4 linked regions of the Arabidopsis thaliana genome follow. The protein of the gene in region 2 purifies or fractionates together with the protein of the main gene of each other region. This does not show direct contact. Each region holds a gene or a part of one and is shown on either strand. Other genes may lie near its edges. The genes, in order: FKBP53, CDKC;1, AT2G42520 and AT3G58510.

Region 1 (7,053 bases), on a different chromosome or scaffold from region 2:
AAGTTGGAGATATTTGTCTCAGAGCAAAGGATAATCGAATAAATCCAAAAGTGGTTTCGTTCTTGAAAGAAGCTAGAAGGAAGCTTCATGGAGAAACATGTAATCAAGGTAATTTATTACACTTATCTTTCTTTTGTCTTATGATTAAAAACTTACTATGTAACGGATTAGTGTATATGTGTGAAACAGGGGAAGAGACAGAGTGGCAAAAGATTCTTGAGAAGGTGAATTCTGCTATTCAAAACAACTTAAGCGTTGATGGATGATTATGTTATGTTGCTTAGTGTGTTGCAAAAAAAAAACTGAATACTCTAGTTTGGGGAAGTCTCTTAGTTCATGCCTATCACTCCTTGTTTTTTTTTTTCTTGTTGTTGAAGTCCTTGGTCTGAAATATATATGCTTGATTTAATTGTGTTGATGAACATCACATAAGGTTTTGTAAACAGAGGCATAATTGATAATTACATTTGCAAACTCTAAAGTTCACAATCATAGTCCATCAAATACTTAGGAGCCGAACATCAAAAATGAGAAATTCCAATTCTAAAAACATTAAGATATCAGAAACCAGAGGCCCGCCGTAGAGATTGCCATTGCGACGGAGAATAATGGTGACGTATGGTGGATCATCAATGTTACAAAAATAAAAAAATAAAAACGGGTCAAAAGGTCAGAAATAACAGTAAAAAAGAACTTGCAGAACAAGAAATAGGTCAAAGTCTTTCTGACGGTACAAAAATGACAAATTCGTCACGGTGATGATGGTGACGTAACTGTACCTGAGAGTAGAGAGACCTTGATTAGAGACTAGTGAGAGAGACTTTCCACAAATGAATCATTGAATACTAACTAATGAAGAAGAAACTATAATCACTTTATTTACACCAAAAAAAAGGGGTATTATTTACATTATTCAATTGAACGGATTCACGAGTCGGGGTTGTCGTTGCTATAAAATCTGGCTTAAAGTTGATTGGCCCCTTTTTGGGTTCAAGTCCATCTACTATGTAAACAGCATTTGTATGATTCCAATTTTTGGTTTTTAAGCAAGTGTAAAATAGGCCAACAAAAGCTATCTGGAAGAGGAAATCTGGGAAACAAATGCTATGGTCTTATCACTTGAAACACAAATCCATTTTTCAAAAAGATTCAAGTGTTAAAAAGGAAAGAAACAATCTTTTGCAGCTACAACACCATTCAGAAACCCCTCATCAGAGATTCTATGAATTCAGGGCAGTTTTATTGAACATTAATCAGTTCGACATCAAAAGTCAGCCAAGAATTAGGAGGAATCTGGCCACCAGCACCCTTCACACCATACCTGGGAGCCAAACAATATTATCATCCCATTAAAAAGGTTTAACAAAACATTGCTAATTCAAAATAACATAAATCAAAATGAGTTTACTTACCCCATTGATGGAGGAATTGTAAGCTTCCTTTTGTCACCAACGCGCATGCCTGTGGAATTCAAAAACTTGAGATGAATACAACACGATTCACTTTTTGAACAAAGTTATAAGTAAAAAAACAGTAAGAAATTAAGATATATACCATTAACTCCAACATCCCATCCCTTAATGACTGATCCAATACCTACACGTTACAATAAGAACATAAAGTATCACTTACACCAGCAATACACTGTAATTCTCAACCAATTTCCCAAGCTATTATCTTTGAATCTAGTTATAATACCAACCTAGACGAAACTTAAATGGTGATTTTCCAATGTTGGAATCGAAAATCTTCCCATTCTTCTGAAGTTTTCCAATATAGCGCACAGAAACCTGCACTCAGAGACAATAGAATGAGCTCCAAAAAGATTTGGGAAAACACACAAATACATTGATGCACTCTAATAGGATTTTGGATTCAAACCAAGTTCACAAAGACAATTAGCCAGAGTTAACCACAACTTAAGGGTTTGAGTGTTTGTAGGTTTTACAAGCCATTAGTTTGTTCACTTCCTATTTAATGTATATTCTTTGGTGCTCTTAGGTCTAAGTCTAACAAGGTATTACTTTGCTCACTTTCTATCTAGTGTCAATTCTTTCAACACCCACATTCTTATCACACTACCACCTTGTTGCATAATCTATATGAGATTGCAGTAACCATATGATATTATGTGTGCAATTTATGACTTTAAGTGTGCATACCGTTTTTCCAGGATCAGCTCTCTTGCCGTTGGGTTTTCCCATGCTCAACTCTTCAACAATGAGCCCATTTGGGTATGTCCGTACTTGAGAAGACTTGGAGTCCGCTGGGGTTTGCTTCTCAACAGTACCAGAAATTTCTGCAGCTTCGTCACTTGGTTTCTTCTTTTTCTTATTTTTAGTTTTCTTCTCAGCAGATTTATCTGGGGTCTTGGAGCTTTCACTCCTGCAATAATACCATAAAAAAGCACAGACTTTTGTTAGGAGAAAAAGTTTGAAAGAACCGCTGTATACTCATAAGCGTTTTTTACTTTGTGATCTATGTGAGTAATAATTCAAATACTTACTTACTGATATTTCACAAATGACATAAACACAATCTGTTATCACCAAAAAAGTTCTCAAATCAAGAAATAAGAGTTCTCACATGGCATTGTTTGCAGTTCCATCTTGAGCTTTTGTGTTTGAAGAAATTTGGCTAATATCCTGCTTCTTCAGAACATTTCCCGTCTGAACTTGTCCAGCTTCCTCATTTAAGACATTTTCCCCTTTCTTCTTCTCTTTCTGATTTTTCTTCTTTTTACTCTTGTTTGCACTGGAACAGATTTTAGAAACAACTTCGTATCCCCACGATATATAAAATATGTGAACTCTGTCCTCAGAGTCAATAGAGAGCAAAGAGAGTAGTACCTTTCTTGTCCATCATCTTGCTCAGCAGCCTTGGCCTTCCGTTTCTTGTTACTACCTTGTTCGTCATTATCTACAACCATCTTCTCACCTGACGCATTCTCTACTTCAGATGATTTTCCTTTAGGAATAGGTAAACCGTCTTCGTCTTCATCTTCGCTTTCCAAAACTGGAACATGGGCACCCTCTATGGCAACGATTTGTTTCTTTGCATTCTCACCTTCGCTAGCTTGACTCTTCTTCTTGGTTTGTTTTGCCTTATTATCTTTGGCAGGTTTCTCTTCATCTTCTATCTCCTCAATTATAACTAGCAAAGATATCATTCAGATTAGTTTTAACAGAACAAGGAAAGATCAATCATATAAACTATTAACACAAATGTAGAACAGGATCAGCACCAAGGAGACACACTTGTACAAAAGCTTAAATTTACGGACATACATTTGAAAAGTCTTTTATCAATATCTTTTTGAAACCTTCTAGTTATAAGACAAGAGTGACGAATCAAGCAATCACACTAAGCTAAAATGGAAGTACTAAGATGCAATCTGATAAGGATCTCTGTAAGAAAAAGTACCTCCACTCTTTGGGGCAGCAGCATTCCGATACCTTTCAAGATTGCTATCAAGGAAGTCTTCAAATTCATCCAATTGCTCATCCTCTTCACTATCATATTCACACGAATCGTCTTCCTCAGACTCACCAACATCAATACCATCTCTATAATATAGTCGCAATGAAAACATTAAGATTTCTAAACAGATGGAATAATAGAAAAACAAGAAAGCATTATTTGCTAAAGTAAACTAGTAACAATGAAAGGATACGAATCATCTTCATCATGCTCATAATCATCTTCATCGTCCTGATAATACTCCAAGAATCCAGACAAGTGGATACTTCTGTCACCAGTCACGGTGAATTCCACTGGCTCATCATCATCGTCAAACTCAAGATTCAGAGGGCAACATTCGATTTTGTTTGGCAACAATGAACACAAAGCAATAGGAGCCTTGTCTCCTATTGAACACTGAATCACACTCTTTTCTTTGCTCAAACCCGTACCTAGAGTTGCCTGAATGATGGCAAAACATACATACATCAATAGATATATCAAACATATTCAGATTCCAAAACTAGACTACACAAATATACAATTCATATCCCAAATCAGCTCGAAGGAACAAGAGTATAGTACCTGGGTCACGTGAATCTTTCCTTGTTCATTTTTTGGATTATAAGCTTGAGGCTTCCCAGGTTTCACTTCAAGTCCTGCATATGTTAACAACACAAAATCAGAACCTAGGAATCATGCTCCGGGAAAATCAAAGAAAACACTGAGCAGAGAAAACTAACCCCAGAATCCCATTTTCTCAGCTAGGTTACTCCTTGGAATCGAAGCGGCAACTTTGTTTCTACAGACTAAAACCCTAATCGAAGGTTTTTAGCAGACGAGCTTTATATCGAGATTAAAGCGGTTTCGAGAAATTTCGACAATTTGTGCAACCGCGCTCTCAGTTTGGGCCTTAACAGACTTTGAAATTCAATGAAGCCCCAATGAAGCCCCAATGAAGCCCATATATTGGTCTGTCATAAATCGTAAAGTAAATGGTATTGTCAAGATACTCTTCATATTTGATAACATTTAATTTGTGTTCATTATTTTACTAGAGTTAATTTGAAAAAAAAATCTATAATTTTCTCTCATGTAAACGCAAATTCAGAAATTTTGTTTTAAATAAAACAATATGAGACCTATCTTTCAACAAAACAATACAATATTGAGACCTAAACACACTGTACAATGACGTGAGTTTCTATCTTTCTTGTCAAAATCTGAAGTAAGTGTACAAAGTAATGTCTTTTTGTTGTATGTAACCAAGTTAGTTAAGTGTTTGTATCTCTTGTTACCAAGGAACGAAGAGATTTCCACTTGATTTCTCCATAATTCTACCATCGCTTAGGTCTGACCCTGAGAGTGAGCCAGCCTCGAGTTGGCTCTCTGAAGAATACAGCGGAGAGGCAAAGCTCGATCGTTACAGTTGTATACCGGAACAGCGGTGAAAAGTTTAGTTGTTGTTTAGGTAATTTTGTGAAACCAAGTATTTTCTTGTTAAGCTAATTGTTATGATGATCTCCATCTTCTTCGTAGTTGAACGGTAACGGGACAGTTTTGAACGCCCTGTATCTCCCAACGTTGTTCAAATGCTCATTCTCCAGCCTAATCAACAATTACATTTCATTAGTTTTGTGTAGATTCATGCATGAAAACACCATCTTCTCAGTCTCGGAGCTTACCTAAAGAAGTTCCAGATACCTCTGCGTATGATCTCAAGGCAAGCCATAAGCGCGACCATAGTTTCTCTATGCAAGAAAGAGAATTTCAGATCCAAAACTGTTTGCAACCACACTAACCTCAACAAAACATTCAGGACCTGCCAAGTACATGAAGCAACAATCTTCACCATATATGTATAAAGAAAAAACAAAAACAGAGGTTATTGCTGTTTTCTGTTTGCTCTCACCATTGCAGCGTAGTACACGGTTTTGTGAGGAACAAGAAGCTTGTCTCTCAAGAAACTATTCTTACATCCTCTTTGAAGCAATCCCCAGTCAAGAACAATGTCCCAGTAAGTTCCGTAAAACGTTGCAACTCCTGAGAAAACCCAAGCTGTGATATTCCAGTTGCTTCCTCGGTTTAGAGTATAAGCTGTTCTAAGAGAAGCAGCAACGATGGTCAAAAGGTATTTGATGCCATTGTAGCCATGACTCAGATCTCTGTCTTCCACCATTCTTCGGATGCACTGAAGAAACCGTAACCAGTAAGGTATAACGGCGACGATGAAGTAGAATGTTCTGAATCCAATATTTGATGTGCAGGTGTTTCGTCGTCTATATCTGAAATCTCCAAAACCATAGTAGCATATGTAGAACTCTAGACTCCTCAGTGCTTGAACCTAGCATTGATTGTTTAAATCAGAAATCATCGATCAAAATAAGTATGAAGCTATCTTATCGAGTATAGATTTTCTCGAACCTGGCTTGTTAGTTGATCTCCCAAGAAAAAGTCCGGAAGATGCACCTGCAAAAATGGAAGACATTCTTCTTAACATTTCTGTTTATGCTTCAGATGAATGGAGAGGAGGATATGTTGTTGGTACCGCGTAAAATGGTGCAGCAATGCAGCGGAACAGAACCGAGAGGAAGAAGAATCGGCTTGACCGATACAAAATGTTAAAGGGGCAGAGAACAATGATAATCACTAACTGCAATATGCAGAGAAACGAGTCTTACTAAAAACAAAGATTGAGTTGTGTAAAATGTACTGAGAAATAGAGAGAGATAGAAGGAACTTACTACGAGAAGAAAGAGGGGGATAAGTTCGGTGACTAATCTGTAATCTTTTGTTTGAGCATCCATTTCCATGTCAAGGTTTAATAAGACAGCACATAAAGAAAGTGTACCAAGACCAAAGCTGAGAAGTAGAACATGTCTATAACCAAGTTCAGTGCCTTGTTTGAATCCAAAGATGAAGGAGTAATTCACACGGTATCGCCTCCAGAAGTAGATATTAGCAGCGTACACGTCCATGTGCAAAACTACAAACCCAAAAAACCTGCAAATGAAATGTATATATCTCAAGAATATTACACAGAGACAGAGATAGTGTGTTTGGTTTATATTTGGTCGTTTTACTGACCTGTAAAGAGGGAACATTGTTTCCATATAAGTTCTTTGTCCCGGTGTACCCATGATATTACGAGCATGGATGATCAAACCCAGAGCTACAATGAGAGAAATACCACAGCCGAAAAAGAAGCCTAAAACAAAACAAAAAACAGAACAAAATGATGAATTACTCTTGAAAATACATGTCAAAAGATTGGTTATTGTAGTGTTGATATATATACCGGTGGAAAACGTTATAAGATGACGTTCTTTATTTATTTTTGGTCTTAAATGGCTCATCCCTTCCCTCCGATTTGAATTGGAGAAATGTTCAATGAAAATAGATTCAACCTTTAGCAACAACTTATGAACCTGCACATGTTTAAAGCTTCAAACTAAAGTTTCATGTTTCGATTTTCCTAGATAGAAGAAGGATACTTACTTCTTCGGAGCTACTGAGGAAAGATTTATCGACCATCTCCATATACAGTTTCGCAGCATTTCTTTTGGCTATCTAAAGAGTAGAGCATATATATTA
Region 2 (7,285 bases):
TCATATTACTGTGCAGGGATACTGCAGGACAGGAGAGATTTCGAAGTCTAATACCAAGTTATATCAGAGATTCTTCTGTTGCTGTAATTGTCTATGATGTTGCAAGTAAGGCTTCTTCTGTGAGAACTTTTCAGCTTTACCATCAAAGTTTCCTCTTTTGTGTACAATCTACACAGGATCCTTCTTTTTGCAAGGATGCTGTGTAAAGTCTCATCTTTTTTGTTTTGTTATTTTAATGTATAGATAGGCAGTCATTCTTGAACACATCCAAGTGGATTGAGGATGTTCGTACAGAGAGAGGTAGCGATGTCATCATTGTTCTGGTTGGTAACAAAACAGATCTCGTCGACAAAAGGTAAGAAACACTTGACGAGAATGAGACATGGAAGCTTTTTCTATTTAGCTATCCAACTTGATATTTCCATTTGACAGGCAAGTGTCGATTGAGGAAGGTGATAACAAAGCTCGTGATTATGGAGTAATATTCATTGAGACCAGTGCAAAAGCAGGATTTAACATCAAGGTGAGAGATGCAACTATGCTCTCATTACTCGTTTAAGATCTTGAGATTTCTTGGAATAACGCTTGGCTTTCTTGTTCTGGTGTTTTGGAAACTTGCAGCCACTTTTTCGCAAGATTGCAGCAGCGTTACCAGGAATGGAAACACTTTCTTCAACGAAACAAGAGGATATGGTTGATGTGAATCTAAAGACTTCGAGCAATTCGGCTCAAGGGGAGCAACAACGAGGTGGTTGTGCTTGTTAATCAGTTTTAAATATATACACAGCAGCAGAATAGGAAGATTTTTAAACGAAAGATTCATAATTTTATGGAACAAATAAATCCTGGTATGAGGAAAGGTGATTACACTTGGAGACTCTAGTTTTTCTTTGGAGAGGTTTTGTTTTCAATATAGAGTTGTGTAATAAAGACGTCTGAAAGCTTATGAAGAAGAATGGCATGTTTTGCTCTGTTCTCATTGCTCATTTCTTTTACATCACACACTGTCAGTCTCCATCTTGACATTACTAGAAAATGTTTGGATAACGAAATAAGACTTGGAAAGAATTGGGAAAAGAAAGAGATTCAGTTTCTCATATTAATCTATTATTAGTTTATTACTAGTATCACATTAAATGTAAGAGTAAGATATCAGATCAACAAATCATTAGAGCTCTTTACTGTTGCCATCCGTATTGCTGGTTTCTCTGATTCTGCCCTCTTCCCGAGCTACCAGAGCCACCATACTGACCACCTTGTGTGTAGTTAGGAGGTCCAACCCCGTACGGGCCACCACTAGGCCCTCTAGGACCAGCCACATAAGGAGCTCCACGTCCTTGTGGAGGATATGATCCACTGCTGTAACCTCCTCGGCTTTGATTATAACCCCCGCTCTGGTTTCCGCTAGGAGGGTAGCGGTTTGGACCAGGTGGACCACGCGGCTTCCCATAGAAGTTGTGGCTGGGTCCAGCAGGTACTTGTGGTGGTGCGTTGTTAGTGGGATGGTTTGGACCTGCAGGCCAATGTGGAGCAGCATGAGACTGTCCACCATGTTGTAATGGGGGTAAGCGAGAGTGCTGCAGCGGTGGATGCTGCAGTTTCTGTCTTTTTGCTGCTTCCTCGTTTTGGCGCTGCTGTTGCCGCTTTTTCTTTGTCTGGAACTCATGTGATGATTCATATGTGGGCAGACTGTTGAAATGAAACCTTAATTTAGTCAGAAAAAATTCCCCACGATCGCCTGTCTAATAAGCTAGATGATGATGCACCAGATGAGTTTCATGAACTTTGTCAGAGAAAATCAGAATATACAAATACCTCTTTGGGTCACATGGCAACGGATCAGTCCAAAAGTACTCGGCATCAAGAGCATCCTTTGCCGATATTCTCTACACAGGGGAAAGAAAAAAAGGAGACATTAAATATCTAAATGGTGTTAACAATGTCCTGACTTGAAGAGGTATGTTTCATCCAAAAAACAGTAAAAGACAGTTTTTAAGAAAGATAATTCGCTGGGAATAAGAATAAAGGTCTCTGATACCTGTGCTGGATCAAGCACCAACATTTTCTCCAGTAATTCAAGAGCATGCCGATCAAAGCTGTACAGAAGAGAAAGTAAAGCCAAATGAAATCTTCTGATCAAAGTAAAGCGGAGATATATAATGGTTTACTTTACTTACTGTCTGAAGAACTCTCTTACACGCCTCTTCAAGGGCCGTGCAGGCTTGAAATTGTTGAACCAAGGCATCTTGGAAACCCCAGGCCAAAGTTTTTCATCAGGTGATCCACAAAGCTCAAATATCTTGTTCAATTGTTCTTGCTGAAACAATGTAGGAGATGGCACATATTTTTTTGAGATTATCAATAACATGTATACATAACTGCGTCTATACCATTTTGTATACATGATATAATGCAAAGAACCTAACCAGCCTCCCACGGTCCCAAAATAAAAGTGCCGATAAATCTAATTCTAGTTAATCCCTTAGGTTTTCTACTCCAATGATATCACAATGCAACCAGGAGACCATGTAGATTCTTATATTATTAGTGGCACGAAAGCACACTGTCTTAACATCTGAAATTTTCAAAAGAACTGCGCTTTCAGCAAAGATGAAACGCTGACCTCATTTTTCCCAGGTAAGATTGGTTTTGCATGCAAAAGTTCGGCAAATATGCAACCAACCGACCACATGTCAATTGCTGGGCCATATTTTGTAGCCCCAAGTAGTAATTCAGGGGGCCTGCCGCAATATATGTAAATCAGCAAAGTAGTAATAACAATGAATTAGCAAAGACCATAATATTAAGACTATCTATGTATATCATGTAAACTTTGAATGACGATTTTTAGGCTTACCTATACCACAATGTGATGACACGATTTGTAAGATTTCCAGTATGATCATGAGAATACGACCGTGCAAGCCCAAAATCAGCCAGCTTTAAATTTCCCTCATTGTCGATAAGGAGATTTGAGCCTGGATCAAAATCTAGGTTAATATGCAAGTAAAGGTGATAACCAAACATCAACATTGTATTAAGGAAAATCACCTTTTATATCACGGTGAAGCACTTGATTCACATGACAATAGTGAAGCCCGGTAAGCAATTGCTTCATGTAACACTTTTAAATGGATTGAGTGTTAGAATAAAGTTGAACAATAAGTATGAAAAAGGCTAATAGAAGTAACGAGCTATTTAGCCGTGCAATACCTTAATTTGAGGAACAGTAAATCTCAGTCCAGGACGATCTGCTAGTCCAGTCAAATCATGATCCATGTACTCAAAAACCATGTAGATGCCACCCTTGTATTTGTTATTATCTATAGGTGAAAAAGCCACAACCTTTAGTTAAGAAGAAATCCTCAATAAGCAGAAACTAAGACAGTAGTTGAAATCACTTTTTTTCACAAACCTGGCTTTCCTTGGTCATCCCTGTCCCGACCTTTTAAGAGACAGAACCATTCAAAACACAAAATGTTTAGACCTCTTTATATAGAAATAGCTAACTTAATTCAGTGCAACATATGTGTTCCTTAAACAAACCTGGTGAAGTCACAATCTCTTTCAGCTGAATGACATTTTCATGATGAAGCTTCTTCAGAATCTTTATCTCTCTAATAGCTGTTATAGGAAACTGCATCATACCAGTTGTAAACAATGGGTTACAATTCCTATCGTAAACAAAAACTTGCATCTGTTCTAAACATAGTGAGCATCATAAAAAAAACGTATAGTCCATATAAAGTGAAGAATTCACATACCCCTTCTCTTTCATTGTCCATACGTATCTTTTTGAGAGCCACAATTTCACCAGTTTTGATTTCTTTAGCCATGTAAACTTGACTGCAACAGCAAAACAACAACAATCAAATCTCCTAAAAGCAACACAACATAGGCATTGTAAAAGCCTAATCATACAATCAAAAATCGCTTCAAAGGCCAATAATTTATCAATCCCAAGTAAAAATTAAGCCTTTTGAATAACCAAAGAGTGAAATTGAATTAAAGAGAAAGTGAATAACCCGTAAGTGCCTTCACCAATTTGTTCGAGCTTCTCAAAGCAATCAACGCTGCGAGATCCCCAGATTGGAGGAGGTTCCTCGAGATTTAGCTGCCCGAATGATGCCATCGCCATCTTCGTTCCCGGGAGTCCCACTGTCGAACAATATCTTTTACTCCGATGATCAAATTACGTCTTTCTCGATCGCTTTCCTTTTCTCTCAGACAACTCTCTCTCCGTAGGTTTCCCAGCTTATTTATGTAATTAGCGTTTCGGTTTAAATCTATGAATTGTCCGGTTTGAACCGGTCTAACCCTGAACAAGCGGTTGGTGTAAATTAGCGATCATCCGTTAAATTTAAATAAAATAATGAAAGAAATATCAAATATCATTTTTATTGACCGGTTTTCAAAAATACCACAACAAAAATAATCTTTTCAAAAGTATTTATTAAAATACAAACTCCATTTTTTAAAAATTGGAATTATGGGATTATGTTTCTTATGTATCTTTCTCATCATAAAAGACTTGACAACAAAATTGTTTAACATGCCAATGCCAAGCACACTCACAAGTCACAAAAAAAAAAAACAAATTGCAATTACAAAAATCATACATTAATTGTTCTATAAAGTAAACATTCATACATTTTGATTAATATTTATTTTTCAAGCTTAGATATATTATAAAGAAAGAGAAAAACTAGTGGACACTCGAACGCCCTAGATTTACTGCTCGAGATAAAATTTGATTTTCGTAAATAAAATTGGAGGCGAATTTGAGAAATCCCAAAAATAGCGGGAAAATTAAGAAAATCACTTAGGTTTTCCAGTGGGTTCACCGTCTGTGACAAGAGGTGCGATAGGAACAGATTACTCCTGAAGTGTTAGCGTGCTTATCACGCCATTTAACCGTGTACACGACCATTCTGGTTCAAAGGAAGAACGAGAACATTCGAATCTCGACCAAACCCTAGATCTCGGTTTCTTTACCTACAGGAAGACACGATTCACTATCTCCCTACTCATTGTCAAACCCTAACATCGGCTATTGGTCCTAACTCCTAACTCACCCGATTCAATTTAGGTTTCATGCTAACATCGGTGAAGGACGGTTATTTCGGAAGTTTGATTTTGGTGTGGGTAGGTCTAATTTTGGGTTTTGTGATTTCTAGGAAAATGTTTCTCTATGGTCATTCACTTGAATCAAACCCTATACATAAATCTTCCCTTCTTTTGTTTCGTATGGATGATATTTCTTTTATCTCTTATGAATCATGCTAGGTTTTTTTTCTTGTAACCGATATTAGAGTTCGACTTGGGCGATGGGAAAGATAGATAAGTATCTTAAGTATGTGCTATATATGTTTCTTGAACTTGATCCGTTGATGTTTTGGTTTTGTTTAAGTTTGTTGGTCCACAATGATATGAAAGATATATAGGCTTTTTCTTCTTAGTTTTATGAACTTACTATATATATAGGGAATCTGACTGATGGAAGTTTCAAAATGAACTAATGATAAAATAATGTTAAGACTATATATAAACAATGTTCTCATCCAATCCACTGTCTGTAGAAGAAATTGACTTGCATATTTGGTTCATATTCCACAATGGGGTTGAGATATGATCCTACTTACTGATTTTTCTGTCTGATGGTGTAGTTTTCAAGCTAACCAAAACATTCCTCTTCCAAGCTACTTTCTTCTGTGGGATGATGACTACGTAGTGGAGTTGTTCTACCATCTCCTACTATTCTGGTGATTTCAGTGATATTTTATTCTTGTGTTTCTTAATTCAAGGGAGTGGTCAGCCATTTGTGACTTCTATGTCCAACACGTATAACTATCCCACTTTCTGGTCCATAAATGATGCAAAGCAACACATATTTAAGTCTACATTGGCAATGAGAAGCCTCTGTTACCATGTTTCAGTTTCAAGCTGTAGGAGTTTGCTATCGAAGGTCAGCAACCAGAGTTCAATTCAGGTATCTCATCTCCTCTTGGGGTAGCTAGCAAAACTGCAGGATTCTAAGTTGTAATAATTCTGATGTCTTGTTGTTGTTGTTGTTGTTGAGTGCTGCTTGTTAATGTGTTGATTCACATGTTTGCTTCATGTACAAGAGAGTTTTCCAGATTTTTTATCATCCTAATTGTTAGAAAACTAAACAGTTGAAATAGCAAATTAGCAATGATCTAGTCCATGAGAGGATTTACCTAATATAATCTATCTGAGGGTATAAGTCAAAGGTATTCTGAAAGATCTATCTGCCCACAATATTATATTGTGGAAATCGTCAAATTTATAGACTTTTATGCAAAGTTTTATTGATTTTTTTTTTTGGTAAGAATTATCTTAAGTTGTGGTTGGCATCTGCAATCGTTGTGTTGTTCACATCCATCAGTCTACAGTTTACTAACAGATTCTAATCATGCATCTCAAACTGTATCATCATTTGTTTAGTGTTATTATTATTTTTGGATGAAATTCTTAATTTGTGTTTTTCCGTGTCTCTGAAAAAGATAGGGACAATTGTGAAGCTCAAAAGAATAGGTTAGTGTTTACTTAATGTTAAGTGCTACTAATCTAGAATAAATACAAAAGGTTTAGGACAAAGAGCAGATCTAAAGGTGACTTATAAGGTTTGCTCCTGGATAGCTTTATTTTCTTTATTGGAACTCAATTTAAAGACCTGACTTAATTACCAACCCCAACCATGTGTTTTAGAGTTCGCACAGCTTTTTATGATGCTTTTGTCAAGATTATTCTATTGTGTATCCTGTTCTTTACGTATATGTTCATGCAGAGATCTTCGTACTTTTTTGAGTCAGGCCATGTGGCTTACTTTTTCATGCAAAAAGCTTCCCCGGTTTTGTCTTTAAACTCTTACACTTTCGTGAAAAGATAATTCACTTTAGCCTGTTTGCTTTAGCTACTACCTTCTTAAAAGCAACAATGTTATTTTTACAGGGTCTTTCAGATTTTCTCTTTGTCTTCTGCTTGATGCTTGCTGGTGAGTGAAACGATGAACTCAAAGAACATAAACGGCGAGTGGTGTGGCCACCTCTCTTAGGTTCTGAGGTTTGTTGGTGCTTTTAGTTCCCATATCTTTGTCTAATCTTTAACTAGTTTTACTTCATTCTATACAATTTTTATTTAAGCAAATGTGGTTTCTCCATGCACATATAAACTTACAATGATAAGAGTATTTCAAAATTGTATGGTTTTATCACTGGTTTTGAGCTATATTGATTGGTGATGTTAAAGGGACTGTCTTGGGAAT
Region 3 (8,033 bases), on a different chromosome or scaffold from region 2:
CACATAATTAAGGAGCACATTACTCACATACCCAACCAATGTGGGACATATCTAATAAGCTCATTCTTGGCTGGTACATGCTCTATTTCATATTTATCAAAAAAAAAAATATTAGGCATTGTAAATAGCGTTTTTGCTGTTGAGCAAAATAGTTATATTTGAAAGTAACATTGGTATTTATAATTATAGTATAACAATTAGGCATTGAAGTGTGAGTTTTTGTTTTTGTTTATTTAACATTGGAGTATTAGGTTCTTAGAAATATATCTATATACTATTAGTAGTTTAACTACAGTTTGTACTTAATTGAAAAAATGTTAAAAGTTGTTTTAACCTAGCTAATTGCTAAAAATGACTAAATAGACATACACAAAGACTTGTACATTTTCAGCTTAACGACTAATACATTTTTCCTTTATATATATATCTCTATCGAGTCTAGTTATTAATGTTGAAAGTTGCAAATAAAACAGAAATGCTAACATGTAAATATCGTAGCCAAAAATGCTAACATGTGTATAACGGTTATAACCACAACTTGATGGCCGACCTCTTTTTTCTTTTGGTAACCATAGAAATGGTTACACGTAACTAGTACGAACCAACGAAAACTCTTCTTATTCGATAGTTAAAGATAATAGCAATGCGCAAAAATATCTAGCACTCACACGTGTAGTTTTGGATTCTCATTGGTCGAGAGATCTATAAAACGATACTATTGGAGGTTAGATTTTTCTCATCTCACTTTCTCCATCTTAAAACTCTTTCTTGTATTTATTTTCCTCCCAAAAAACATCTTTAAGAGTCCTCATGGCGATGTCTTTATCAGGAGCTGTTCTCAGTGGCATGGGTTCTTCTTTCCACAACGTAGGAGCAAAGCAGAGTGGTGTTGGTACCGTCAGAGTTGGCCGGAAGAGTGAGCTCGTCGTCGTTGCTCAGCGCAAGAAGTCGTTGATATACGCCGTTAAAAGTGACGGCAACATCCTCGATGACCTCAACGAAGCCACGTGAGTCTATATTCTTTTCTTTTAACAAATTTTCTCGTGACTAAGGCTATCTTCATGTGTACTCGCAAAAACTCTCATATACATTACGTACTCGCCATGATAGTTATTTTATTTTGGTTAATCCCATCATAACAGTTTTATACATACTATAATCAACTATAATGGCCTTGTTGAGGATTGAGTTTCCATGGTGTAGATATATGTTTTTAAAATCGTTTGTCAATAATGAATCTTAACATATATATATATATATATAGAAAGAAAGCTTCTGATTTCGTGACGGATAAGACGAAGGAGGCCTTGGCGGATGGCGAGAAAACAAAAGACTACATTGTTGAGAAAACCATTGAAGCCAATGAAACTGCGACTGAGGAAGCTAAGAAAGCTTTGGATTATGTGACTGAGAAAGGAAAAGAAGCCGGAAACAAGGCGGCTGAGTTCGTAGAGGGTAAAGCAGAAGAGGCTAAGAATGCCACAAAGTCCTGATTCAACCACTCATGTAGTCATGTTCAATAGTTTACAATAAGATCAGTTTGTTGTAATTTCTTTTTCACCATTTGAAATGAAGAGCTGTTAATTACTCACTAGCACATTTTAAATACGTATCAAATGATTTAAATATAAACTACATTTTAGTGACTACAAGTAACATAGTAGTATTTATGAGTTGGATTCGGGAAAAATCTGTCAAAATCTTCTCTCATTTTGATCCTCAATTATAAAGAAACTGTGAAACTGATGACTGTTTTTATGACAACCCCTAATAATAGCCTAAAAAGATCAAAACACCTAAAACATCAACAATTGTTATATATCCATCTCCTGAGTGAAATCTCATAGGTGTAAGGGGCAATACATACTCTCTTTGTGAATGTAGAAGAAATATTTTTTTTGTCAAAAGTTGTAACCAAAACAAAAAGAACATTGGAAGCTTAGTCCCAAGCACTTGGAGGTTCTCCACCATATCCACCACTTGAAGCACCACCATATCCACCACCATAGCCTCCTCCGCCGCCATAGCCTCCTCCACCACCATAGCCTCCTCCGCCGCCATACCCTCCTCCTCCACCGCCATAGCCTCCTCTACCGCTACCGAAAGACCCTTCCCTTCTAAAGTCACGGCCACCAAATCGACCACCAGACCGCCGGTTCTTACCACCACCAAAAGAGGACCGTGACGCATACCGAGTGAGCCACTCAGGGACTTCTTGGTTAGCTTCTTGCATCAGCTCAGCGAGCGGTCTGGCCAGTGAGGTGTTGCCATCGTTGAAGAAGGCAGTTGCTAGTCCTGATTTGCCAGCACGTCCTGTTCGTCCAATACGGTGGACATAGTCATCAATGTCATTTGGCAGATCGAAGTTGACCACATGAGCCACGTGGGGAATGTCAAGGCCACGTGCTGCTACATCAGTTGCAACCAAAATCGGTGTTCTCCCACTCTTGAAGGCTTTCAATGCCACTTCTCTTTCCTTCAATGCATATATAGCAACACAATAACTTAGTTCCTAACACTTATTGATAATGATGATCAAAGAGTGCATTTCAATAGTTTTTCCTTCAGATTTTGACTTATGTTTAAGCTTTAGTTCAATGAACTATATTTTAACACGAGATCTTCTCTTTGGTCTCAATAATGAATTTGTACGACTGGATTTTGATGTCCACATTAACATACAACATTTTCAGCTTTAAGTTGAATAACAAACCTGCTGTGTTCTGTCACCGTGAATGGAGGTTGCTGGAAACCCATTGATGCACAACCAATTTTCCAAAGAGTCAGCTCCTCTCTTTGTCTCCACAAAAACTAAGGTCAGGGCTTGCTGAAAATATGGAAAGAATACAATCATCAGAAAGTATGAAGGAGCATGTTGAAATATTGAGGCAAGACCAGCTACTTTGGTAATAAATCATGAACTAAACAATAGATGATTCCTTCCAAACAAAAGAGGAGTATCAGTTTGTACCTTGCCTTGGATGCCATTCTCTCTCTGAGCGTGAAGCAGGTCCATGAGATGACTTCTTTTGTCAGAGTCAAGGACAAACTCAACCCTTTGGACAATTAAATCGGTACTTGAACCCACTCTACCCACAGCCAAAAATATATAATTTGCTAGGAAGTCAGCTGCGAGTCTCTGCACATGAAACAATACAATCTTTTAAAATTTGCAAGTGATTATGCAGAAACATTCTATATTATGCAGCTTAATCAGGAAACAAAAGTATGAAACTTCATTAATCTAAAGCTTGCCATAATAGGTTCACCATCATCCATTAATGAAGTGGCATATAATCTTCTGACACATAGAACTATTAATACCATGTCAGTTAACTGGCATTGACCATCGTTTTATAAAAATGGATAAATTTACCCCTGCATAGCCTAGCTAGAATAATAGTAGGACTAAAAGTCATGTAATCAGCTTTACAACAAGAAAACCTCTCTCAGAAAAGATATAACCTCTGCAGAAACCATGCATATAGCTTTGTATATACTATTCACATACACTTTCAGTTTAAGTTGGACATTTCTTTTTCCCCCTCATTTTTTTCAGAGGACCAAATGGATATAACTGGACACAGAAGGTTGTTACGACAAAACCCCAACATAGAAAATGTAACAAGCAGATAATTTGCAAGGAAAAAGTATGGAACACAAGAATCAACACACATGGCAAAGAAACTTAAATAAAAATTCGGAGCAAGGCAGGGGTAGTAGTCAGAAAGTGAAGAAGTTCACTAAAAATGATATTTCAACCAATGAGAAGGTGAATAAAGAAAAAGTGATTTACAGACAAGTAACCAACCTGAATTTCTCTTGGAAATGTAGCACTAAACAACAGTGTCTGTCTAACTCCACGTGGAGGCATGTCCATTTGTTCGACAATCTTTCTAATTTGTGGTTCAAAACCCATGTCAAGCATTCTATCGGCCTCATCAAGAGCTAAAAATCTAATCATCTGCATTGAGACTCTAGCTCTCTCGAGCAAATCATTTAATCGACCAGGCGTTGCCACAAGAATATCGACTCCCCTCTCAAGTTCCCGGAGCTGCACAAACAACAAGACACAAGATCAACATGTTGACTTTTGAAAACAGATTAAGTAACACATAGATACAGCTACGACATATAGCAATGCTTCTGCATGTCATATATTGATAAATCCTTAATATAGAAAAATGCTGGCTCCAAACCAAAACATGCTTTTAACTAAGTTAAGCAGCCTTAGAAACGAACATGCTTAACCCAAAACAATCAGCCTAAGAGACGACACAAAACAGACAGCAGTGACAGACGCATGAAACAAAACTCAGAAATCAAAAGTTCAAACAAAAAAGTAGAAAAAAACAAACTATTTGCTCATTACATACCTGCTGGTTAATAGGTGTTCCTCCATATGCAACAACCACCTTCACACCAGTTTGGTAAGAGAACTTTTTAGCCTCATCATGTATCTGCCAAAAATCATTAGAACAAGATATGAGAAACTAACTAACTTCTACCAAAGCGAAGAATCTTGACATCAGAAGAGAACCCCAACCTGACTTGCCAACTCTCTTGTTGGTGAGAGAATAACTGCAAGAGGGTAGACTGTTCGTGAACCACGGGGTCTCTGTACATGCTGATCTTTCATTATTCCACTAATGATTGGAAAGCAAAAAGCAGCTGTCTTCCCCGACCCTGTCTGAGCACAGGCCATCAAATCCCTCCCTTCAAGCAATATCGGAATCGCATGACGCTGAACAGGTGTTGGCTTAACATATTTGCATCTACGGATATTTAGATTCAATGCCTCCCCGAGATCTATCTCTGCGAATGTGTTAACAGGAGGAGGCACATTATCCCCACTGGTCTCAATCGGAATATCTTCATAGGCATCAAAATTAATAACCGTATTATCCTGCTCAGTAAAAGCTGGTTCTGGTTCGGAATCATCATTTTCAAAGGGGTTTACTTCACGTTCCCTACGGTCCCACCCTCCGCTTCTGTTGTTCCAACCACCACCTCCTCGTCCACCATAGCCAGAGCCAGAGCCAGGACGACCTGCATCAGCCCTATAACCACCACCACCTCCAACACCAACACCACTACCACCAGGAGCCCATCGAGAGCCAGAAGGTGGACCACCATAACCTACACGATCATTAGCTGGCAATGGAGCAACAGGCTCAGAAGCTGCTGGCCTGTTCCTTAGATGTGGAGGAACATAAGCAGGTCGTGAAGGATGAGAATTCTGATTAGAAGACCCAGAACCCGTGTTCTCTGAGTCAGCTACATCAGCCCATGATGCACTCATAATCGAAAAGTATAACGTCGTAAAAAAAAAACTAGCTTGCAAATCCTTGGATATCAACAATCAAATTCTCAAAGCTCCTCCCTTTAGTTTATAATCTTCAATAGAATACAAAAACCTGGAAAGTTACAAGATGGGTTTCAGTTAGAACAATAGCACTCCACGGATATCAATAGCAAGCAGCTAGGAACATCTTTAAATAACGAAGCCCTATCAAAACCTCAAAAAACATCATAATCGAATCGACCGAATAACAAAAGTCCAGTCTTCGGAGAAGAGCATATAATCAAACGAAGAATATAACAAGACAAATGCCAACAGAATCACGCAAAGAGAAGAACAATGTTCACCTCAAAAAGGAATAACAAAAACAAAATTTGCAACAAAGAGTAGCAGATAACCCTAGCTACAGCTCTCGAAATCAATCAGCGTAAACCCAGAGATAGAAGAATCCTCAAAACACGTCCCAAAAAATCGAATCGAAGAAATCAACGGTAAACCCTAAAATTCCTTTGAATTACCTTTTGGTATCGGAGACAGAGCAAGATACAAATGCGCAGAGCGATAGAATCAATAGAGAGAAAAGAGAGGTCGAGAGATATTTTTTAATTATTTTGACTTTTTTGTTCTTCTCTTATCAAACCAGATTGCGTCCCGTTTTCATCAATCTTTCAACTTGCGTGTCGGTTTAGTTTTCTCGTTCTGGATTGTATGTCGGCGACTTATGTTGAACTCTCTTTCTTTTAGTTTTTAATGAATTTAAAATTTAAACTGTTGTAAACACACTTCTCCTCTCATTCCATTTGGCCAAAATATCTGCCTGCGATGGTGATGAGCATATTTGCCATAATGATAACTTGTTCATCTCCAAGACTCCAACCTCTAACGCACGAAGACTCGCACACTTTCTCACAAGAGCTCTGAGACAAGCACTAGTATCAGCATCCGGAGGAGTGTCCACTGATGCACATAATGCTACTACCCATTTGCAGTCGCTACTCTCTAAACCGCTCTCCTTTTCACCAAACATATCCGCTTTCTCAGCTTTGATACCCGTGTCACTGAGTCCATTCCTTGTATCTCTGAAACCATCCCACCAAATGACTCATCAATGTTTGTGTGGGGACGTTTACTGAATATCTCCATGAGTACATCTCCTAAAGACTCGTTGCCATTTTGTTTTAAAGCCTGTGAAAAACCCATAAAACTTAAAGTCATTACTTGTCCGTTAAGAGAAACACTGATAAGTATGCAAGTTGGAAGAAAGGAATACCAGACGAATGTGTGAGAAGTCGGAAAGCAACGAGTCCTCCCATTCCTTCACCGGTTGCAGGTGCTCTGGGAATTTGTGGCATGTAAACACTTTGCTCTTTCTCTCTGTACTTGCTTCCACTTACCTTGGCTACTTTTACATTTGGAATTCGCTTAGCCTCCCACCTTAAATGATGGAAACAACTTAACCATATATGCCTAAATGCAGATACACAGAAAGATTGAAACAGAGTGACATATATACCTGACTCGTCTTAAATATTCAATCCCGTCTTCTGGTGGTCCAGAATCGAAATCAGGTTCTCCATCCACAGCAAACGCAGGCCTCAAAATGCTATTGTAATCGTCATTATCTTCAGTTTTCTCCTCTTTTACAACATAGTCTTCTTCAAGTAGTTAAGTCATCAATTCCTTGCCTAAATGTTCTCATGAAGAAACAAAAAGTCACATTTTCTTGGAATCTCAGTTTTGATTTCTATTGAAGAAACCAATAAAAACAAAGAAAAGAACTAAGCCCATCAAAAAGATTTAGCTTTCAAAGGTATTGATTTTTATTGAAGATGTATGAACATGTACAACTTTTTAGCCGATAAAATCATGGCCATACACACTTTGAACCAAACAAACTCTCTAGACCCCTTTAAACAATCTGAACTAAAGAATCTATATACAGAAAGAATGTATTGTTTCTTAGAAAAGGAAAAATTGGTGAACACAGGATTTATGAAACACAGGCTTCGACAGATTTCTTCAGGTCAATGTACAAAGAGACGGGTTCGTCTTGGTACAGCCGATATGGGACCTGTGGAAAAGAAAACAAACGGCCCCTATCAAAAAGATACTTAGGAACAACCACTGCTGAAAGAGTCGCAGACACTAAGCCCGACTGGATTTGTCACTTTGAGATGACCATTAGAGAAGGAAATCACCATAAAACCGTAGCAAAGAAAAAGCCATTTGAGTGACACACACAAACAAAAATGCAGCAGATATAGCTTAAGGTTATACATGAGCTAAGTAATCTTAACTTGGAGTGACATATTTCTATTAGACCTAAAAGTTTCCTCAACATGTTCAACTAAAAACAGGCAACACCACAAAATGCAGCAGCTAAGATAAAAGTAAAGTAAGTGGAGGGTTACCGAGGATACTCTTGTGATTCTTCAAACCTTCGTACTCAGTCACCAGCTCAGGTAGGAGTCTAGCATACAAGTCACTCCACAGTTTCTTCTGATTCGCAATGTGGGCATACCTCATCGACTCCATTTGGTTCCTAGAGTACATTATCCGCAACTGCTTCCCATTCATTTCTCCACTGTTACGAAAGTCAGAAACTTTGGTTGACGCATTCCTTTCAACAATGCTAGAAGCATTTCCCTTATCAATCGGTTTCTCTACTCCAACTTTCTTATGCTTTCTTGGTGCATCCTTATCAGTGTGTGCAGTTACTGGTCTCTTAGAA
Region 4 (7,638 bases), on a different chromosome or scaffold from region 2:
ATTTTTGCAGGTATCCGACTCTGTTTCACGAATTTCCTCATGCTCGTTACGCAAGCTTACCATGTTTCAAGCTAACGGACACAGCACTAATGCTTGACTCACAAGAAGAGATTATTCATCAAAGCCACGAGGCTGATACAGTGGAGAGACTCTGTAGAGTTCTGATGATGATGAGATCAAAAACTGTCTCTCTTAGATCACTACATTCTCTCAAATTCGATCTCGGTTTACCCGATAACTACGAAAAGACGCTAGTCATGAAATACCCTGATCATTTCTGCTTCGTCAAGGCTTCTAATGGTAACCCGTGTTTAAAGCTTGTAAAATGGCGTGATGAGTTCGCATTCTCGGCGCTGCAGAAGCGAAACGAGGACAATGATGTTTCCGGGGAGGAGTCTAGATACCGCGAGTTCAAGAGAGGTCAGTCTACGTTGACTTTTCCTATGAGTTTCCCTAGAGGATATGGAGCACAGAAGAAGGTCAAAGCATGGATGGATGAGTTTCAAAAACTTCCCTACATATCTCCTTACGATGACCCGAGTAACATTGATCCGGAAAGCGATCTCATGGAGAAACGAGCTGTGGCTGTTTTGCACGAGCTCTTGAGCTTGACTATCCACAAGAAAACCAAGAGGAACTACTTGAGAAGCATGAGAGCGGAGCTCAACATTCCGCACAAGTTCACTCGTCTATTCACGCGATACCCCGGCATTTTCTACCTCTCATTGAAGTGTAAGACAACAACTGTGATCCTCAAAGAAGGGTATCGCCGAGGAAAACTAGTGGATCCGCATCCTCTCACTCGTCTTCGAGATAAGTTTTATCATGTGATGAGAACAGGGTTTCTTTATCGGGCGAGAGGGCTAGGCATGGTCTCTAAAGAGGAACTTTTGCTTGATAGGCCAGAGGATGACCTTGAGGAAGAAGGCTCTGAAGAAGAAGAGATTGTGGAAGGAAGTGAGCTTGAAGAAGATTCTGAAGCTGAATAGCAATAGTTGTTGAATCTAATTGTTGTATGTTAATTCACACAGAGCAACAATTTATGTACCTGCATTTTATCTTTTTGAAGTAACGGAACGGAGTTTAAACAATGTAAGCACAAAGTCCTTAAAATGATATAAAGAGAGATTGTATTTCACCAAGAAAGATTGTCAACAACAAAGGGAAACAAAAAGACAAATTGGATTTCAAACTAACAAATGAAATTGTTAGAAGAAACCAAGAACAAGATCAAAATCGGAAAAACTACTGTCTATCTTTTAGGACAAATCCTAAAAATAGCCTGAAAAAACAGAGAGATCCACCTAATAGCAAGATTAGTTAAATCCATCTCTTGAATGAGAGATCTCAAAGGTGGGGGCAAATACACGTGCTCTCTTGGGAATGTAGAAGAGAAGAAATAAATAGTCAGGTTAAAAAGAGGAAAAATTGGGGAGCCTAATTGGCTAATCCCAAGCACTGGTCACTCCAGCACCATACCCACCGCTTGGAGCACCACCGTATCCACCACCACCATAGCCTCCTCCGCCATAGTAATCACTGCCGCCTCCTCCGCCGCCGCCGCCTCCTCCTCTACTGTAAGAGCCTTCCCTTCTGAAGTCACGGCCACCAAACCGACCACCAGACCGTTTCTTACCACCACCAAATGAAGCACGTGAAGCATATCGTGTGAGCCACTCGGGGACCTCTTGATTGGCTTCTTGCATTAGCTCAGCAAGCGACCTAGCCAGTTGTGCATTGTTCTCGTTGAAGAAGGCAGTTGCTATTCCAGATTTGCCTGCACGTCCTGTTCGTCCGATACGGTGGACATAGTCATCAATGTCATTTGGTAGATCGAAGTTTACAACATGAGCCACGTGGGGAATGTCAAGACCACGTGCTGCCACGTCTGTTGCAACCAAAATAGGTGTCCTCCCAGTTTTGAAGGACCTCAGTGCCACTTCTCTTTCCTTTGAATTCATAACAACATAAAGAAGTCAATCAGATTGAGTCAACAGAGAACAACTTACTGATGATGATCTTTAAAGAGTTCATTTCAGTAATATCATCGAGGTTGTTTCTATAGTTTGGTTTTAGCTTTAGTGTGCACAATTATCCAAATTTCAACTTAACTCAATCAACGAACCTGTTGTGTTCTATCGCCATGAATGGAGGTTGCTGGAAACTCATTCATGCACAGCCAATTTTCCAAAGTATCAGCTCCCCTCTTTGTCTCCACAAAAACTAATGTCAATGATTGCTGTGTATAAAAAGTGAAGAAAGGCAGAATTAGTCAGAGCTTCAGTGATAATAAATCTTGGATAAGTGAACAGATGGTAAATAATGCATTACCTTGTCTTGGGTCTCTCTTTGCGCGTGAAGCAGGTCCATGAGATGGCTTCTCTTGTCAGACTCTTGGACAAACTCAACCCTTTGGGTAATTAAATCAGTGCTTGAACCAACTCTTCCCACAGCCAAAAATATATAGTTTGACATGAAATCAGCTGCAAGTCTCTGCACAGGAAACAAATACGGTAATATTAAAAGAAACGTTAAGAACCAATCATTCTTGTGCGTGCTGAATATTATGCAGCTGTTCTCACATAAGAAATATAACACTCTAAAGACTAAATCATCAAAGATTCACCTCATGATCTGGGAAGGAACAGAGTTACAGACATAAATCCAAGAACACTGTTATCCTGTTCTTTGTTACCATGCTACTTCACTAGAATAGAATTTAAGAGCAAGAAAAAGGTGTTTCATGGACAAGTAAACCAACCTGAATCTGACTTGGAAATGTAGCACTGAACAGCATTGTCTGTCTCACCCCACGTGGAGGCATGTCCATCTGCTCAACAATCTTTCTAATCTGTGGCTCAAAACCCATGTCCAGCATCCTGTCTGCCTCATCTAGAGCTAAAAACCTAATCATCTGCATTGAGACTCTAGCTCTTTCAAGCAAATCATTTAACCGGCCAGGAGTTGCCACAAGGATATCACATCCCCTCTCGAGTTCCCTGAGCTGAATAAACAATAAAATATGTGGTCAACAAATCGATGCTTGAAAACTGTTTGACTAACTAACACCTGTAACAAGGATTAAAAATTCCAATGCTTCTGCATGTTATGTAAAGATGATACAAGCGATACGACAATGTTAACTAGCATATGAAAAAATTTGTAATACAAGATTTGATTTTCGCCAACATTATGCATTGCTGACTTCAAAATCAGAACATATGTTGACAAAGGAGACTGGCATTGGGAAGGAAAGAGCTAGCAGAACTCAAATCAGTAAGCGAAAGCTGCTACTCACATAAAACAAAAAACAGTGCTAGAATCATGTAGCAAAATCCAAACTCCAATGACAAGCTAAAAACCAATAAACAAAAAAGTGTATGATAATTACCTGCTGGTGAATGGGTGTTCCTCCATAAGCAACAACAACCTTCACACCAGTTTGGTAGGAGAATTTTTTGGCTTCATCATGTATCTGCAAGAAAATCACAGAATGAGAAATGTGTATATTATATACACGTACATTTTTTCTTTCTGAAGAAACTCTATTCTTGTTGGTGTGTATATTACCTGGCATGCCAATTCCCTTGTTGGTGAGAGGATGACTGCAAAAGGGTAAACCGCCCGTGAACCACGGGGTCTTTCTACATGCTGATCTTTCATGATTCCACTAATTATTGGAAAGCAAAAAGCAGCAGTCTTCCCAGACCCAGTCTGGGCACAGGCCATCAAATCTCTCTCTGCAAGCAGTATTGGAATAGCATGACGCTGTACCGGTGTTGGCCTCACATACTTGCACCTCCGGATGTTCAGATTTAATGCATCCCCAAGATCTATGTCAGCAAATGTGTTAACAGGAGGGGGCACGTCTCCCCCACTGGTCTCAACTGGAATATCTTCATAGGCATCAAAATTAATGCCAGTATTCTCCTGCTCTGTAAAGACCGGTTCTAACTCAGCATCATCTCCAAATGGGTTTACTTCACGTTCCCTACGGTCCCACCCTCCACTTCTGTTGTTCCAGCCACCACCACCACCACCTCCTCCTCCAGCACCATAACCATAGCCAGTGCGCCCTCCATCATTCCTATAGCCACCGCCGCTGGCACCACCACCCCCACTGCTAGGAGGAGCCCAACGAGACCCAGCTGGTTGACCACCATACCCTGCATGATCATTTTGTGGCAAAGGAGCAGCAACAGGCTCTGATGGCCTGTTCCGTAGGTGTGGGGGAACATAAGGAGGCTTTGACTGAGAAACGGCCTTCTCTGAATCAGCCACATCTGCCCATGATGCACTCATGATTGAAATTTGTAACGTCCTAAATCTAGAAAAAGTTGCAACTTCCCAGCAGAAAACTTATCAATAAACAATAACTTTATCTTCTTATCCACGAAAAATAGAGAACCTGGCAAATACCAAATAGGTCAATAGTTAGCACAAACGCAATCATAGAAATCACAATAGCAGCTGTGTAATGTAAAAATCGAACTCCATAAGCAGGAAACCCCCAAAATCCGAAATCAAATCTACCAAGACGAAGAGAAACAAAGAGAACCCAGCCAGGGAACGCCAAGCGAAGCAAGCAAATTAGAATCGTATCACGCAAACAGAAGAAGAAAGGAGTATCACCTCAAACGAAATAAACCAATTAAGGAACCCTAGCTAGTTGATACAGCTCGAAATCGAGAGATAAACGTAGGCGGAAACAAAAAACGAGAGGATATAGAGAAAGAACCTCAAAAATCGGTGAGAGAGAATCGAATCGGTATCCAAAAAAACGAAGAAAATCAACGGTAGTCGTTCACCCAACGGAAAAGCAAGCTCGGGGGAGAGAAAAACCCTAAATTCGATGTTTACCTTCTGGATCGGACACAACGCGATAAAATAGACATGTTATTAATCTTCAAAATGACCTTAAGCCAAAAATATGGTATGATAATGAGATTAGCTTGTTTTATATTTTAAGAATTGATTTAAAATCTAATTATATACACTCATAAGAGTTTGAGAAAAACATATATACAATAATTATTGGGGAAACAAATTTACACTTAAATCTTTAGAACTTTAAAATTGTTTATTCTGAATTTAATTGTATCTAACTTAAAAACGATTCAACTTATATGTAAAAAAAAGTTCAAACCATATTTATTTCCAAAAATAGAGTAATCTAAATCTTTCATGAACCTATATTTTGAATATTATTTTTATGTTCGGACTCTCATGAATTGTCAATAATTAGAGATTTCTTCTTTTTTTTTTGGTTAAATTTATTTTTCATGAAGGAGCAAATCAATTTGTATTTTACATTCATCGTTCATAAATTTTAGTATGCATCATTAGAGAGAATAAAAATATATATGTCACATAAATTTTGGTCAAAATTTTATGTTGTAACCATTCAAATTTTAATTAAAATGATGTTTTGGCTAAATCAAAATTACATTTCATTAGCTATGAATAAATAGTTGATAATGTATTTTCCCATAGCTAGACCCTTATGTAAACACATTTTACTTAGATTATAGTTTTTTGAGAAAAAACTAAAATGTTTGTTAAAAATGAAAAATTCTTCAAAACAATAGTTGTATTGTATGTTTATATAGTTTTTGTGTGTTTAATTAAAAGAAATAAAACTACTTTACAAATTTTGTGTGTATTACCTATTTAAACACTTTTATAAGAAAACTAAAGGGTGTTTTAGTCAATTTATCATTTAGATCTCAACGAGGAGGATATAATGGTCAAATCAAGACACAGCTCGAAAGCTACAAACCCACTCGCCCCTTTACCTCACGCGCCCCTTTGTTTTGATTTCCTCTCTCACTCTGCACACGAAGGCGAGAGAGAGAGAGAAAGAAAAAAGCGAAGAATACGCAGAATCCATCCAATTTAGGGTTAGGGCTGCCCCTAATCTGGAAACCTTTGCCTCGTTTCTGATCTGTTTTCCGGATCCGACTTGAAGGAAAGAAGACGACGACGCACTACCAAAAACATGGGCGCGAATTCGCTTCCAACGGATGCAACCCTCGATCTAGATGAGCAGATCTCGCAGCTCATGCAGTGCAAGCCTCTCTCCGAGCAACAGGTGCCTGTGATTGTGTTAGAATATAGCTTTCCTCGCACCTTTTCGTTTTCTTCGTTTAAAATTGGATCTGTAATTTAGTTTTTCGAGTGAACTTTGGGCCATTTCGGTGATTAGATCTCAGATTTTGTTTCAAATCAAGGGTGGATTATTTCTGTGAGTATATGATGATCTGATTCTTCGAGAAGGATCTTCTAGTATAGGTGTAGAGCTCATTTCACGTCAGTTTTACGGGTTGATAGAAATGGATTTCATTTTTTTTTGTTTCTTAATGATTTCTGGCTGTATTGGATTCTGAATAGGCGATTAGCTCGCATTTCAATATGCTTTGTATTGTGGATTTGTCTCACCCACAGCCAAAATTGTATCCTTTTGATTAGGTGATTGGCTAGTTAAAATCTCATCAGTTAGATGCATTACTGGATTTTCCAATTGGGGGAATGTATCTTAAATGATAATAGATTTAGCTGAAGTTGAGAGAGAGGTTGCAATTCGATAAAAGTTCTTCTAAGCTAATATCGAGGGAAAAACTGATCAGTAGCTGTAAAAAAGTCTTCTTGGCTGTAGATGATCTTTGTGCTTGTTGCTTGTGTCAAATTGGTGTATCTAATTTGACATTTTAATGTTAAACTGGATAATACTGTTAGTCCTGTATTTCTCTAGGAAGTAAAAGAGGGGAAAGATGAATTTATTATGTGCAGTGTTTTTTTATTTGCTTTAGGTCAGAGCATTATGTGAGAAAGCTAAGGAGATCTTAATGGATGAAAGCAACGTTCAGGTCAGTTCTTGATCTTGCATCTCGTGCCAATTATAAAACCCATGTGGTAGATTGTGTAACTAAACAATCATTTGGTTTAAAGAGCCTTAATTTTTATATTCTTACTGTATGCAGCCTGTTAAAAGCCCTGTGACAATCTGCGGTGATATTCATGGACAGTTCCATGATCTTGCAGAGCTTTTCCGTATTGGGGGAAAGGTAACATCTATAACTCTTGCACAATGGACATAAAGATGCATGTTTTGTTATTTAGTCTGCATCAATCCTTTCTAGCAATTATTATTTATGGCTGGGGACTACAAAGTGTGAGTGGTTTCTAACTGAATAATCAGAACTATTTAGAGCCTTTTCTTAGGGGTTATATTTGAAAGTGGGTTCTAATTTTTGGTGTCCATCTACCATCAGGCGTTTACAAAACCTGATTAAATGTTAATCTTACACTCTTTTGCAGTGTCCTGATACCAACTATCTGTTTATGGGAGACTATGTCGACCGTGGATATTATTCTGTGGAAACTGTTACGGTACCAAGTCTATACCATTTACAAACTTCTTTTTTGTTCAATAATCTGATTTCAAGTGGAAATACATATTTTTGGTCATGTTATTTTGTTAAATAAAATACATTGTCTCCATACTGGATGTATTCTCTTCTTAACGTTTATATTTGTTTCTCTTTCTTCCTCTTTAATTTCATTTCCAGCTGTTGGTTGGCTTGAAAGTACGGTATCCACAGCGAATCACTATTCTTAGAGGAAACCATGAAAGTCGTC

What was found.
Region 1: the proteins of CDKC;1 (region 2) and FKBP53 fractionate together in Arabidopsis thaliana (co-fractionation; one large-scale study listed by BioGRID). This does not show direct contact.
Region 3: the proteins of CDKC;1 (region 2) and AT2G42520 fractionate together in Arabidopsis thaliana (co-fractionation; one large-scale study listed by BioGRID). This does not show direct contact.
Region 4: the proteins of CDKC;1 (region 2) and AT3G58510 fractionate together in Arabidopsis thaliana (co-fractionation; one large-scale study listed by BioGRID). This does not show direct contact.

Annotation. Positions count from the first base shown.
Region 1 is NC_003075.7:12,958,418-12,965,470, forward strand, and holds FKBP53 (FK506 BINDING PROTEIN 53), read right to left. Parts: upstream 4,355-7,053; 5' UTR 4,216-4,354; coding exon 4,203-4,215; intron 4,119-4,202; coding exon 4,045-4,118; intron 3,922-4,044; coding exon 3,674-3,921; intron 3,567-3,673; coding exon 3,424-3,566; intron 3,154-3,423; coding exon 2,850-3,153; intron 2,755-2,849; coding exon 2,587-2,754; intron 2,386-2,586; coding exon 2,163-2,385; intron 1,791-2,162; coding exon 1,703-1,790; intron 1,597-1,702; coding exon 1,555-1,596; intron 1,478-1,554; coding exon of another isoform or gene 1,462-1,477; coding exon 1,413-1,461; intron 1,322-1,412; coding exon 1,240-1,321; 3' UTR 932-1,239; downstream 1-931. Other genes in the region: AT4G25330 (SAWADEE protein), read left to right, coding at 1-108, 190-266; SHB1 (EXS (ERD1/XPR1/SYG1) family protein), read right to left, coding at 4,965-5,067, 5,145-5,281, 5,372-5,803, 5,884-5,928, 6,008-6,112, 6,204-6,462, 6,547-6,667, 6,758-6,887 and 1 more. UniProt on the Arabidopsis thaliana protein: PPIases accelerate the folding of proteins. It catalyzes the cis-trans isomerization of proline imidic peptide bonds in oligopeptides. Histone chaperone possibly involved in H3/H4 deposition to the nucleosome.
Region 2 is NC_003076.8:3,220,537-3,227,821, forward strand, and holds CDKC;1 (cyclin-dependent kinase C;1), read right to left. Parts: upstream 4,253-7,285; 5' UTR 4,139-4,252; coding exon 4,026-4,138; intron 3,847-4,025; coding exon 3,765-3,846; intron 3,638-3,764; coding exon 3,547-3,637; intron 3,446-3,546; coding exon 3,416-3,445; intron 3,324-3,415; coding exon 3,214-3,323; intron 3,125-3,213; coding exon 3,052-3,124; intron 2,979-3,051; coding exon 2,858-2,978; intron 2,742-2,857; coding exon 2,624-2,741; intron 2,318-2,623; coding exon 2,178-2,317; intron 2,097-2,177; coding exon 2,039-2,096; intron 1,887-2,038; coding exon 1,816-1,886; intron 1,690-1,815; coding exon 1,179-1,689; 3' UTR 957-1,178; downstream 1-956. Other genes in the region: RABH1e (RAB GTPase homolog H1E), read left to right, coding at 17-105, 244-355, 433-523, 622-765.
Region 3 is NC_003071.7:17,702,651-17,710,683, reverse strand, and holds AT2G42520 (P-loop containing nucleoside triphosphate hydrolases superfamily protein), read right to left. Parts: upstream 5,944-8,033; 5' UTR 5,821-5,943; exon of another isoform or gene 5,650-5,820; intron 5,487-5,649; exon of another isoform or gene 5,418-5,486; 5' UTR 5,303-5,417; coding exon 4,547-5,302; intron 4,461-4,546; coding exon 4,377-4,460; intron 4,055-4,376; coding exon 3,812-4,054; intron 3,140-3,811; coding exon 2,972-3,139; intron 2,828-2,971; coding exon 2,714-2,827; intron 2,477-2,713; coding exon 1,940-2,476; 3' UTR 1,624-1,939; downstream 1-1,623. Other genes in the region: COR15B (cold regulated 15b), read left to right, coding at 811-1,007, 1,265-1,493; AT2G42510 (survival motor neuron interacting protein), read right to left, coding at 6,066-6,381, 6,521-6,736, 6,816-6,957, 7,344-7,373, 7,741-8,033.
Region 4 is NC_003074.8:21,637,272-21,644,909, reverse strand, and holds AT3G58510 (DEA(D/H)-box RNA helicase family protein), read right to left. Parts: upstream 4,933-7,638; 5' UTR 4,861-4,932; exon of another isoform or gene 4,633-4,860; intron 4,409-4,632; 5' UTR 4,303-4,408; coding exon 3,571-4,302; intron 3,476-3,570; coding exon 3,392-3,475; intron 3,005-3,391; coding exon 2,762-3,004; intron 2,494-2,761; coding exon 2,332-2,493; intron 2,240-2,331; coding exon 2,126-2,239; intron 1,950-2,125; coding exon 1,446-1,949; 3' UTR 1,115-1,445; downstream 1-1,114. Other genes in the region: AT3G58520 (Ubiquitin carboxyl-terminal hydrolase family protein), read left to right, coding at 11-989; PP2A-4 (protein phosphatase 2A-4), read left to right, coding at 5,999-6,091, 6,810-6,866, 6,981-7,064, 7,318-7,389, 7,569-7,638.